Linked DNA regions of Arabidopsis thaliana. The protein of the gene in region 2 purifies or fractionates together with the protein of the main gene of each other region. This does not show direct contact. Each region holds a gene or a part of one and is shown on either strand. Other genes may lie near its edges.

Region 1 (6,998 bases), on a different chromosome or scaffold from region 2:
AGATGAGCCCCCAAAAGAAAGGAGTTTCATGCTAAGGCGGATGTTTAGGGTTCGGTGTCAAGAGTCGTATGTTTAGGGTTCGGTGTCAAGAGTCGTAAGTTTAGGGTTCGGTGTCAAGAGTCGTATTAAGGTTTTGGTTGAGTTTGGGCTTTAACTTGTTTCTCAAGGAAAGAAGTAAAAGTTAGGTTCTACTTGCTAATTTTTAGGATTTTTGTGTGTGAATGTGCTAAAGTTTCGGCACCTTAGGTTTGAAGTCATTGTAAGACATATCTTCATCTTTTTATCGTAGACTATTTTTCAGATTTAATGTCTTAACTTCGATATTTTTCTAATATTACGTTGTGATTAAACACTATCGTTGTTCGTATGTCATTTTAAGCTTGAACACAAGTATACTAGCTCTCCTTGAAGGAAAAATTATTGTTGAGACGAAGTAAAGATTTTGTTTGGTTGTTTCTTGATATTGATTTTCGTAATTAAATTTTTGTTTGTAAATATAAGAAAAGTTTCAAAATCAGTCTAATGTATTACCAACTCTTTTTTATCTAAGCTGTAAACTCGGACAAATTACCAAATTCGACCACAAACAAAACTTTGTTCCTAAGAATAGTGCACAAGGGAGAACAAAGGTAAGAAGTAGATCAAAACTTCATACATATACTACATAAACCATCTCTCGAAGATCTTATGATTTGGCCTTAACCTCACCCTTGCCGTGAAACTTCCTTCCGGCATCTACAGCTTCTCTGTAGAAGAAATAGACAAAAAAACAACATCATCTATCTCGAAAACCCAATACCAACCGATAAAAATCAACACCATAAGTGTTTCTTACGAACCTGAAAGCATCAATGAGCTCTTTGCTTTCAGGGCTAAGCAATACTCCCTCGTAGAAAGCATTGGCTGCCTCGTCAAACCGCTGGAGATTCATGAGAAACTCGGTGAGTCATACAGTTTCAACGTTAAGAGATCAAAGATTTTTAGTGGCATTGTAGATGCTTTTTACCTGTAGCAAACGCAGAGCAGCGCCTTCTCTGAAGCAACCTTTAGGCCAATCTGGGTTTAGTTCTCTGCAGGCTTTAGCATCAGATAAGGCATGCTCAGCTTGTCCTAGTCGCAACCAGCAGAGGCTTCGGTTTGAGAATAAGGTATGATCCGTTGGGTCAAAATCAATTGCCTGTGTTCAAACAAACCACAAAATCACATATAGGCAAAAATTAAGAATCTTGTTTTGATTTCAGAAGAAGTTTTAGAGTAGAATACTTGTGTATAAGCATCAATAGCCATCTGAAAATCCTTTCTGTGAAAGGCGTCTTGTCCTCTGGCTTTTGCTTCTGCGGCTTTTGCCTTTGCTTCTGGGGAGACCTGTGGAAGTTAAAAATGGTTATCTTTAAGTACTTTAAACAATTTGTTGAAAGAGAAATGCATATTGATCAAAGTATGAAGTACCACAGGAAGATCTTTCTTGATCCCAGTCTCTTGGGATTTCGCCTTGTTTGAGTTTTCCTCTTGTTCCTGAAAATGTTAAGTTGTTTCAGACAAAAAATATCGAAATATCCGACACTAATGCCAGGAAAGATCTGATATGCCTACTTTGTTTGATTCCATGTGAGCGAGAATTCCATCTACTGTCCAGTCCGAAACAGTTTCTGGTTTTGTTGTCAATGGGAAGAGGATCTCAACAACCTTTCTGTTGTCTCTAGCAGCTGCAACTTCTAATGGCCTATTACCCTCCTAAAAATAATCGAGTTTACAGTAGAATCAGTATAGTACCACAAGATTGTATTCATGTCGTACCATATGAACAAGGGAACAGGTTCTTGCATATGAACTGATTTCCAAGTTGGTTTTACCTCATCTTTCTGATTCGGATCAGCCCCGGCTTTAAGTAAACAGTTAATTAACTCAAGGTTTCCAATATCAGCCGCAATGTGCAATGGAGTTGCACCACCAGCAAAAACGTTAGCTTTGGCACCTGCCTGTGATTACAAAAAGAACAATTTTTTGTTAGCTCTGATTTAAGATATTTGGCAGCTGAACCAACGCAATACTAGAGGATGTTAAGAAGATGTTAAACCTTGACCAACAACTCTAAGCATGACAGAGAACCCGCTGCCACTGCAGATAATAACGGTGTGATATTATCTTCAGTCTCAGCATTAGGCTGCAGAGTCATCAACAAAAAGGTTATAGGTTTATAAGAAAGTACGGTTTTAGACAGATAATCAAATAGAGATATACACAAAGTTTACATTGGCATTGTGTTCTAACAAGACTTCCACAGCATTTTTTTGGTCGTGGCCAGCAGCCCAGATTAATGGCGTGCCAGATTCACTTTCAGAATCAACAGGAACACCTCTAGAGAGCAATTCCTTTAGCAACTCGATTTCTCCTAATAGATGTATAGAGAGAAGCTATATAAGTAAAACAGAACACTTCATGACCCAAGAGAGTGAAATAAAAAAAGACAGAGCAATTGATAACCAACCTGTCCCAGCCGCATGATGCAAAGCTGTGGCTCCTAGTTCACTAGCTATATTGGGATCAGCTCCTTGCTCTAAAAGATACTTAACCGTTTCAATCTGTCCTTGCCTCGCAGCATGAACAAGCGGAGTATCACCTACCAAATCATAACAATCTCAGTGATCAACTTTCACATATATAGAAAAGTTCTGCAAATTGTAAAACACAAGGAAACACAAACCAGTTTCATCTTTTGCATCAGCATTGAGTTTCAGTTCTTCCAAAAGATATCTGCATATTTCAGTTTGTCCTTCTCTCGCAGCGAAGTGAAGCGCTCCACGTTTGTTTGCGTCTTTAATACTCTCCACAGTTTTCGTCAAGTCTTTTCCTTCATCAAGCTGCTTAGCAACATCTGCTTGGAGAAGTGATAATCAGTACACAAAACATATAACTGCTCAAAGAAAACAGAGAAACGAAAAGTAAATAAAGCACTCACTCTTAAGGAATTCGAGATTTCCGGTACAAGCTGCATTCAGGATTTGCTGAACTTTCTCCCTCGCTAGAGTAAGAATCCAAAGATGAAACGAAAACAAAAATTATAATTAGAGATTCAAACTACCAAGTGTCAACTTCAATTCTAATCTACTTATACCAAATTAAAGAAAATTTTCAATTAGTATTTGAGTTTCTACAGTTCTAGTAATGGCCATAGCCGAAACATTATAGCCAACGAAAATTTCACAAAAGGAAGAAGAAAAGGCAGCAGAGGAAGAAAAAATCGAAACTTCACCATAAGATCAATTCAGCTAAAGAAAACTAAGAGAGCCCATCAAGGAATCTATAGTTCATACGCATTCAAAAGACAGAGATCGATACATCATTCTAAAATATAGAAAAGAGCATACCTGCAAGAGCAGTAGAAGCATCAGGAGCCATGGCAGATACTAAGCCCTTCGTTCGTGAAACTTGGAGTGGGTTTTGGATATCGGAGTTAGTTCCGTTCGTCGATACCGGTGTTTGTTTGTGTCTGTCTGTCTGATTATCAGAAATCTGAAAAAAAGCTTTTGCCTTTTAATTTTTCAGTTGGTCGGAGTCGGAGGCTTCTAGGTTTTAAGAAGATTCCAGAGGTTTTTTTTTGGTTATCTTTTAATAAATTTGAATCTTAGACCCTCATATATTTAACTATTACAAAATACACCCAATAATACGTTTTGTAAAAAATACACCCTGACTTCTCAAATCTCTTCATTTTCATTCTAACGTTAGATCAAAATGGGCTTATTTTCAGTTTAAGAATCGATTATCTAGAAAAAAGTTCATTTTATTATCCAATCCAAGATCATATTGTAATCTTTTTTTTTGTATACATCATTACAGCTTATGAACAAGAGGTGTTTTTCTTTTTCTTTCTCTCATCTTGTGAGTTATATACAGAGCCACAATTTTCATCTCTTTTTCTCCAAAATTTTCTAGTTGTTTTTTGTTTCTTTCGAATCCTAATTGTAAAAGATTCGCTTCTTCCTATCTCTCAAAAGAAAATCTGAGTGCTTATAATCTTCAATAAGACTGCATAACAGAACATGCAACTGCTTGTGCCCAATGTCTCAACCTCTGCTTCATTTGTTGAGGATCGTCCCCTGCCAAAAAAGATCATATTAAACCATTAGTTTATAAATGTTATTGCATTCAAAACAAAATACCAAAAACATGAGTTTAGATACCTGGGCATAAGATTTTAACAGAATCTGAATCAGTTTTCTTTGGACTACAAGGTATACTGTATGAGAAAGTTGACGCAGATGCACTGCTGCTACGGCTGCTGCTAGGTGAAGGAAGAGGCGAGAGCTGACGATTCACTGCAAAGTAAAGATCAAGAGCTGGTAATGTATTACAAAGCTTTTGTCCTGCTTCTTCATTGAAACCGAAACCTAGCTCAATCGATCCTTTTAGCTCGTTTAAATCTTCATCCGTTAGATTCGCCTGTATACAAAGATTGTCTGAAGCGCCCTTATGAAGCAGCTTCTTTTCTTGAATCATTATCATCTGACGCCTTCTTCTTTCCCAAGCAACGTCTCTTGGTGTTTCACACATAGATAGTTGTTTCGATAAACGATGTTTTGGTTTCTGTGAGGCCACCGGCGTTGTCGCTGCTGATCTGACCTCGGGAAGCGCCGGTTTTATGATTGGCAATGTAAGACCTTCTCTTCTTCTCACCATTTTTTACTTGATGTGTATATAAAGCAGAAATGACCAGAAGCTAATGTGTTAGGTGGCTTGTGAATGCAAATTGGGGCTCTAGTTTATGGTTTTACTACCTCTTTAAGAGACTATGATCAAAGCTTAAGGGCTTTGAATCCTGTGGATTTTTTTTTATGAATGTTCTTAGTGTGATGGCCGCGCTCGAACATATTACGCGGCCAACAAAAAAAGGTTATTATGGGTCGGGTTGATCAGATGTCTACTTTTATGCTCTTCTCTAGTTGGATTTTTCCCAACCCGACCAGATAAACTTTGAAGAGACTCTTAGTGCTTTAATGGAGAATAACAAACTAGTTTCCACCATTGATCTATGTAATGGATAAAAGTCAAAAAGCTATTTTCTTCCATTGCTTAAAATTTGACGATTGATTCATCCAGATCTTTAGGGACTTTCTTTGTTTAGATCCTTGACCATTCTAAGAAAAGAGTTTCAAAACATGTCGTAGTCTATCTCTATCAAGTCAAACTTTCAAAAGTTTGTAATAATGTTATTGAAACAATATGGTCTAAGAGTTCTATATTTAGATTACATGAATTTTCATGTTGTAGTCAAAGAACAAAAGTCTTTTCAGTTTCTCTAACTATATGCTAAACATAGCTTGTTCGGGTAATCCTCTCCACCACGAATTTTTCTAACTAATTTTGTTTCTCTTTCAGACAGAACGACGGAAAATGAGAAAAACACCAGTAACCTCATAATTACAAACAAAAAAAAACTAGACAAAACGAGAAAATAGAAAAGAAAAAAGAGTGTGTACCTTGTTTTTTTTTTTCTTGCAAGGTTTTTGCTTCTTGTTCATCCATGCAAGTCCTGACTTTCTATGGTTAGGTTACAGAGACAATAAGAAATAAACTTCTAATTTTGTCCACAAGCGTAAAAGTGATCTTAATTCTTACAAAAAAGAAAGCTTTTCTCTCCTCATTTTTTGTTTAAGGCAAAGAGTCTCTACCCGTTGATGTGTCAGCCATGAGCGGGAAAACTCGGATTCTCTTTTTCCTCACATGTCTCTCCTTTCTATTGGTTTTTCCAACTAGATCTAACGGACAAGATTTAGCTCTGAGCTGCGGGACATCAGAAGCTTCTGCTGACCAAGATAAGAAAAAATGGGAACCAGATACAAAGTTTTTAAAGACTGGAAACTCAATTCACGCAACGGCTACATATCAAGACCCTTCACTTCTCTCAACAGTTCCTTATATGACAGCCAGAATCTTTACAGCTCCAGCAACTTATGAAATCCCGATTAAAGGAGATAAAAGACATTTGCTTCGGTTATATTTCTACCCATCAACATACACCGGTCTCAACATTTCCAACTCGTATTTCACTGTGGAAGCTAACGATGTTACCTTACTGAGCAATTTCAGCGCCGCGATTACGTGTCAAGCTTTGACTCAAGCTTATCTGGTTAAAGAATACTCTCTTGCACCCACTGACAAAGATGTTTTGAGCATCAAGTTTACCCCTTCAGATAAATACCGAGACGCATTTGCCTTTATAAACGGTATCGAGGTGATTCAGATGCCGGAATTGTTTGACACGGCGGCTCTTGTTGGTTTCACAGACCAAACAATGGATGCCAAGACTGCGAATCTTCAGTCAATGTTTAGACTTAATGTTGGTGGTCAGGACATCCCTGGAAGCCAAGACTCCGGTGGGTTGACAAGAACTTGGTATAATGATGCACCTTACATCTTTAGTGCGGGTCTTGGTGTTACACTTCAAGCAAGCAACAATTTTAGGATCAACTACCAGAACATGCCGGTGTCTATAGCTCCAGCCGATATATACAAAACCGCAAGATCTCAAGGCCCAAACGGAGATATCAACCTCAAATCCAATCTTACATGGATGTTCCAAATCGATAAGAACTTCACCTACATTTTGAGACTCCATTTCTGCGAATTCCAGCTTTCCAAGATCAACCAGAAGGTTTTCAACATTTACATCAATAACAGAACAGCGCAGGCAGATACTACTCCTGCAGATATAATAGGGTGGACAGGAGAGAAAGGAATCCCGATGTACAAAGACTACGCGATATATGTTGATGCCAACAACGGAGGCGAAGAGATTACACTTCAGATGACTCCATCAACTTTTGGTCAACCGGAATATTATGATTCATCTCTTAACGGGTTAGAGATTTTCAAGATGGACACCATGAAAAATCTTGCGGGTCCAAACCCCGAGCCATCGCCTATGCAAGCTGAGGAAGAGGTTAAAAAAGAATTCAAGAACGAAAAGAGACACGCTTTCATCATTGGTTCGGCCG
Region 2 (6,339 bases):
TAGCTAATTAGATGATATGTTGCAGTGTTGTATTTGCAGATGAATCCAGGCGGGATAACGATATTCGGGTGGACAGTAGACAGGCATTTGATAAACACAATATTCTTCATTGAGCTCTCTCTAGTTACTTTTGTACTCGGCAAGACTGTAGTTTTCGGTACTGAATGACCAAAAAAAAAAAGGGTTGGTGTATCATGCATTATTGCATAGCTTTTTTACCTTCTGCCATATAGTGAGATTCTTCAATTGATAGGAGAAGATATACTTACATGAGCGTCTCTTAACTTTTTTTTTTTTTTTTTTTCCCGCGAGCCTCTCTTAACTTGGTTACGTGAAGAGTGTACAAAGCTATATTGTACTAGATGGAGGAGGAGTTTCTTGATCTTGATCCTGTTGTTGGACTCGTCGTTTTTGTAAAATCCATACTTGTTCACTCTCAAAATATGTCCGAACATTTGGATTTTTTATAAATAATATCATATTTTATGGCAATTTGCAAATTTATAACATATGGAGTAAATTGTAAATTATATAATTAAAAGGTATTAGTATATAAATAGAAATAGAATATTTCTAAAAATATTCTTTTTTAGACTAGAAAATAGAAATATACATTGGAGAGAAAGCAACTCTATTTTAGAGTAAGATATAGAGCTATACATTGGAGATTGTCTTACAAAACAAGCACTGTCAGAAAGCCATAGCACTAACTGGCCAGCCTAGCTTGTGAACACATTAAACCTGCAAGGATTCTCAGTGGCGAAAGGAGGAAAATCATCTTCACAAATCACCACGGACCCTCAAAGTGAATAAAGAAAGCATGAATGATATTCTGAGATACAAATATTCCAACCTCCGCTTAAGCAGCAGCCCTCGCCTAAAATGTGGTAATTCCAAGGTATTTGAGAATATCAAGGTTGTATTCCAACTGCTATCTTCGACCGGTGTGCTGTACTTCAGCCAAACAGACCGCCAGACCCAAGTTCGGTTTGCGTTAATTCCTTCCTACGTTGCTCTTCCAAAGGATCAGGGCTCTTTACCATTCTCCTCCCACGCCTAGGCATAGAAGAAAAAGTAAGAGACAGAATTAAAGTCAACCACTGATCGTTTCAGTTTAGATAGACCTCAGTACCTGTCTTGGGCATGTTGAGCAGGAAAAGTAGGCATGAAATCTTTGGATTTTGGCAGAGGGACTTCGCGGAACCAATCATGCTTTAGAGCTTCATTAACAGTTATTCTCTGCAGAAGAAGCCACAGAGATCCAAAAGTCAAGGAACAATTAAGGTGCATACTGGATTAACATGCATGCAACAGATATATATTTTCTATTACCCTTTCAGGATCGTACGTTAGGAGCTTGTTCAGTAAGTCAAACCCAGCATCGGACAGAACTGGTGCACCAGTGAACGAAGTGGCTGGGAATTTCTTACGTAATAGGTTATACCTAAAAGTACAGGTAAGCGGTGAGAAGAGTGACATAACAACTATGAAAACAATATAAATCCACTAATGAGTCAGAGAGCCACACCACATCATCTAAAGCTAGAAAGCCTGGGAACAATATTAGAGACTTTAAGCATATACTAAGGTTATCCTTCCATATAAACTGAAAATAAAAGGAACTATAAATACTTACTGATGCTTGACAAAGTTGACCTTGACTCCAGGTAGTTTAGAGAACCCAGGCCAAATAGATTCATTGGGAGTACCAAGGATTCTGAAAATCTGTAAATTAAAGAAGGAGTAATTTATAAGCTGTATGTGGTCCCAGGATGGCTGGAGATCCAAATCAAAACCGATGTTTAAAATACCTTGTCAAGTTGATCAAACTCCGTTTTCCCATTGAACAATGGCGCCTTCATTAATAGTTCTGCCATGATACAGCCCAGTGACCACATGTCAATGGCTGTAGAATATTGTTTTGCTCCCAAGAGAAGTTCAGGTGCCCTGGAAAAACAAATGCAGTCGTTGGGCTTGGTCCCGGAGGAAGTGATTATTGCTAAAACAAGAAGGGAGAGTCAACACAAGGAACAAAACAAGTCAAGGAAGTTGAAGCACGTATATTTCCTAATGTGCCCAGATTACGTTGGTTCATGGTACGTGGTGTCCAAGCAAATACCGCAAAAGTGTTAAGTATTTAATGGCTAAGCTGGCATATTATGAAGACTATTCTCAAAGAGGAAAGATAAGGATCCAAGGCAGTCACAAAACTCAAGTTTGTGGTGCCATTGGAACAAATATCAGATACCTTGGAACACCATTTAAAAACAGGACTTTAAAATCATTGATCCTAATGTGCAGAAATAGAAAAGGGAGTACGGTGTAGTACAGCTATACCAGAAAGGAGACGTGGCACCTAATGTTATACTAACAATGGCCAAAAAAAAACAAGAAAGTCCACCAGAATTCAAATAACAATCGTAAATGTAAACACCACTTAATTTTTTTATAAACAAGAATAGGGTAAAAACGCACTTTACCTGTACCAAAGCGTAACAACCAGATGAGTATAAGGCTTGAGCGGGCTGCCATATTGCCGAGCCAAACCAAAGTCACATATCTTCAACTCACCCCGATTGTTTAAAAGCAGGTTAGATGTTTTCAAATCTCGATGAAGCACCCAGTTGTCGTGAAGATACTTGACGCCCTCTAAAAGTTGAAGCATTAAGCACTTAACTTCACTTTGACTAAAACGCTGCTTCATTGTCTCCATCAATGCTTTAAGATCATGTTCCATGTATTCCATCACCATGAATATGCTATCAAGGCTGCTACCCACGACCACCTCTTTAACATCCACTATTGATGGATGATGAAAAGAAAGGAGGATGTTAATTTCCCTAAGAGAAGTCAATGGAAAACCTTCTCTTTCTTTTTCCATCTTCACCTTCTTCAATGCCACAATTTCGCCTGTCTTCTTATCCTTTGCTCTATAAACAACACCATAAGTACCTTCATCGATCTTATTTAACCTCTCAAATTCATCAACACTTCTACAACCCTGGAGCATGTTTATACTTCTCAGTGGAGTACTGGCAGGTTCAGGTGTCTCATGCCGTACATATTCGTCATCTGAATCTGTTTCACTAAGGCTGTCAACAGAGTTTTCTCTTCTGTGTTCCTCCTCATCTATTTCCATCTTGTCACTCTTAACAGCATCTCTCTCCTCAAAATCATCTCTGCTTCCCGGTAAAGAATGGTGCCCCCTTTCATCGGAATCAGATGATCTATAACCTTCCCTCACTAACTCCCCGACCTCAGGTGTTTGAGAGGTATTGCGAAATCTCCCCTGCACGGGAAATGGTTTCTTCCTCCTTTTCTTTTCCCCAACTTCTTCTACTATTTCAACTTCATCAGTTGGAGAACTATTACCAGCAGCCCACCTAGAGGATGATATATGCCGTGTTGGCATGTTTTCATCCTCTTCCAGGTGTGTTGCATGCTCTTGTTTGTCATCCTGCTCAGCATTTGATGACTGTTCTACCACACACAAAGAGGACATCTCTACCGAAGGTGACAAAGCAGGCATAGAAACCGCAGAAACACCAACTTCCACAGGATCTTGATGCATGTCACTCTTTGCAGGTGAATAATGAGAATTACCACCACAACTGACACTAGGTGACTGGCTTGACCTCTTAACTAGTGGTGGTGGGGGAGGAAGAGGAGTGACCTCCACAGGTTTTTCATTTCTGCTCAAATTACTTCTCTCATGGTCATCCCTATCCCATACTATTGGTGAAAACTTTCTCTTCTTTTCCACAGGACTTTGAGCTCTATTCTCTACCTCCTTCACAACTCCATTAACTTTCGCCAGTGATTCCGACTCAATCAAATCATCCGACCCACTCTCACTAGAGAGCTCGCCTGGTTCCCTGTCCACAGACCTAGCTGAAAACCCGCATCTTTTAGGACCAAGATCGATAAATACTTCTCTACTACCTGGATTGCTCTTCGATAACCGAAACCCACTACTAACCATTTTGTTCTCTTCCTGTCTAGCTCCAGACTTAATTCTATCTCTATCCCCGTGTCTTAGATTACTAACCCGTCCCTTTCCATTATCAATAGCACCGTTCCTAACATGATTATAATCCTCGTTCGCATAAGCACTATCCCGCCTGGAAAATCTAGAATTCGATTCCTGGTCTCTCAGTTCATGGTCTGGATATCTTATATTCCTCCCAGCCGCCATACAGAACTTCGGTGAGAAAGGGACCCAAACAAACCCAAAATCCTAATTTGACGAACTCTTAAATCTGCTACTAGCTAGCTGTGTTCAAAATCAGAATTGCAGAGACTAAACCTTGAGATTTCAAAAGTTGAATTACGCACCGATTTAACAGCTACTTGCGATCAAATCGCTTACAATTGAAGCAGAACTTGTGATCAGAACCGCGAAACCCTAGAAACCGAAAGCGAGACCCGTGGATACGGAGGAAGAGAGGACGAAACGAGAAGAGAACTCAGAATTGGAAAGTGAAAATACGATTGATAAGGAGTTCGTAAAGTTCCGATTGACGACGGGTGGATATAGATTACCGTGGAGAGGGAACGAACAATGGCGGAGAGAGAGAGAGAGAAGAAAGTTTCTCGTCGAAAGCTCAAAGCTTTAGGTCTCTAAAATCGTGTTTTTGTATTCGCCCCCTCTATTTTATTGTTTTAGTATAAGGAGCCCCTTGATGAAAAAAAAAAAGGTATAAGGAGCCCCTAACTTTTGTAATTAATCAATGTGTTTCTTTTTATTTTTATCTCTAAAATATTTTAAAACTTCTACGACAATATTATTGAAACCAAAAATATATTTATTTATTTAAATTTAACATGTTATGGTCTTGAGTTTTTTTTTTGGTAGGCTGTTATTGTTTGAGTTTTTATCGTGAGATTTTACCATCAAATTGGCAAAACAATTTTATTTTCGTGGGATAGTCACACGACTCACACCCAAAATTAATCGAATTATTGTCATCTTAACCACAAAGACTATTATCTTGAAAGTCGATGTTGGAGCACTTGGAACATAAGAACAATCTCATTGATGATTTCTAAACATAAGTCTTTTATTTTAAAGAAAGAAAATTTATTATAAAAGAATGTGTGGGCTTTTTGATTAGTGAAAAAGTCATCTCTAAAATACCTTATATAGGAAATTTTGGAGAGAATTTCTTAACTATTCAAGAAACTCACATAGTTAGATAATATTATTTTTGTTGTTTTAATGTTAAGAAACTTATATCTAGAAACCACAAATAAAATTGCTCTAAGACATGAAAACCTTAATATTACCATCAAATCATTTAAATCAAAAAACATATGTTAATTTTTGGAGTCATGTTAACTTTGATAATTATGTACCTAATATTGCCGAAGGCCAGTCAAAACTAAAATGTCTAATTTCAATGTCCGAAAAAATGATTGTCACGGTTTGTGGCTGCATAATGTTTAGGGGACCACATAAACCGTTTTAGAACATTATGAATATTCATAATCTCTCAATCACGAACTAATCATTTCTCTTCTTGTTTGTGTTCATGACTAGCTTGGTCGAAACATATGAGTCATCTTTCATTCTAGACTTCAATTTTTTTGCTCTTTACAAAATTTGACAATCAAAATCACTATCAAGTACTAGTACTATTCCATCATATCTGAGATTATCTTTATTTGATTTGTGTGGATGTCGTAATCCGCAATTAGAATTTTGTGGTTGTTTCGTGAAGGTCTTAAATCTTGTTAGACGAACAGTGATCAAGTGAAAAGTATTTATGTATTTCAGTATAGTTTCAGTACAATGTGTATCCCCTTTTACAATGTCAATTGACTCTTATTTATACAAATACATCGAATCAAACGAGTTAAATGATTCGCTGACTTCACGCCGCGGATCTCGCCTCATTAACTTCGCACGTTACGAGTCGTCAGCTCGGATCGTAAATGCTTATCATTTAAGTTGAGATTCCTCCGTTACCAAATTAATGTCGGATCAACCTTTGAACTGCTGGGCTTACATTGTGCCTTAAAGCCGGGCCTGACCTTATCTTAGAAGCCCAAAATTGCGGGGTCGGGCCAAATGCGAGATCAGACATCTGGTAAAAAGCCCAAAACTTTTGCTTTACCGGTCACATCAAAGATTATGAGTTTCCCCAAATGTGTTTGTGTCAATTAAAAGGTTAGCGACATAGTTTTAAGTGAAGTTAGCAATTAAAGTGCGGATAGTTGGCCACTCGTGGGACCTTGATTAACTTTGAGAGTTCTTGGCTCAATTTCTTTTATCTACTTCCCCAAACAAAACTTTTTTTTTTTTTTTTGCGTTAGTTATTGAATATCACTAAATCCATA

The links.
Region 1: the proteins of AT1G67580 (region 2) and TPR10 purify together in Arabidopsis thaliana (affinity purification with mass spectrometry, with the first as the bait; one large-scale study listed by BioGRID). This does not show direct contact.

What each region holds. Positions count from the first base shown.
Region 1 is NC_003074.8:1,274,630-1,281,627, reverse strand, and holds TPR10 (ankyrin repeat family protein), read right to left. Parts: upstream 4,961-6,998; 5' UTR 4,681-4,960; coding exon 4,185-4,680; intron 4,101-4,184; coding exon 4,039-4,100; coding exon of another isoform or gene 4,021-4,038; exon of another isoform or gene 3,804-4,020; intron 3,601-3,803; exon of another isoform or gene 3,514-3,600; coding exon 3,369-3,513; intron 3,023-3,368; coding exon 2,960-3,022; intron 2,876-2,959; coding exon 2,705-2,875; intron 2,621-2,704; coding exon 2,489-2,620; intron 2,393-2,488; coding exon 2,253-2,392; intron 2,165-2,252; coding exon 2,078-2,164; intron 1,980-2,077; coding exon 1,854-1,979; intron 1,735-1,853; coding exon 1,594-1,734; intron 1,516-1,593; coding exon 1,450-1,515; intron 1,366-1,449; coding exon 1,264-1,365; intron 1,178-1,263; coding exon 1,007-1,177; intron 920-1,006; coding exon 840-919; intron 747-839; coding exon 686-746; 3' UTR 510-685; downstream 1-509. Other genes in the region: AT3G04700 (carboxylate clamp-TPR protein (DUF1685)), read right to left, coding at 4,021-4,100, 4,185-4,680; ANX1 (Malectin/receptor-like protein kinase family protein), read left to right, coding at 5,690-6,998.
Region 2 is NC_003070.9:25,326,771-25,333,109, forward strand, and holds AT1G67580 (Protein kinase superfamily protein), read right to left. Parts: upstream 4,692-6,339; 5' UTR 4,196-4,691; coding exon 2,481-4,195; intron 1,948-2,480; coding exon 1,812-1,947; intron 1,726-1,811; coding exon 1,637-1,725; intron 1,445-1,636; coding exon 1,333-1,444; intron 1,240-1,332; coding exon 1,133-1,239; intron 1,057-1,132; coding exon 957-1,056; 3' UTR 512-956; downstream 1-511. Other genes in the region: AT1G67570 (zinc finger CONSTANS-like protein (DUF3537)), read left to right, coding at 26-168.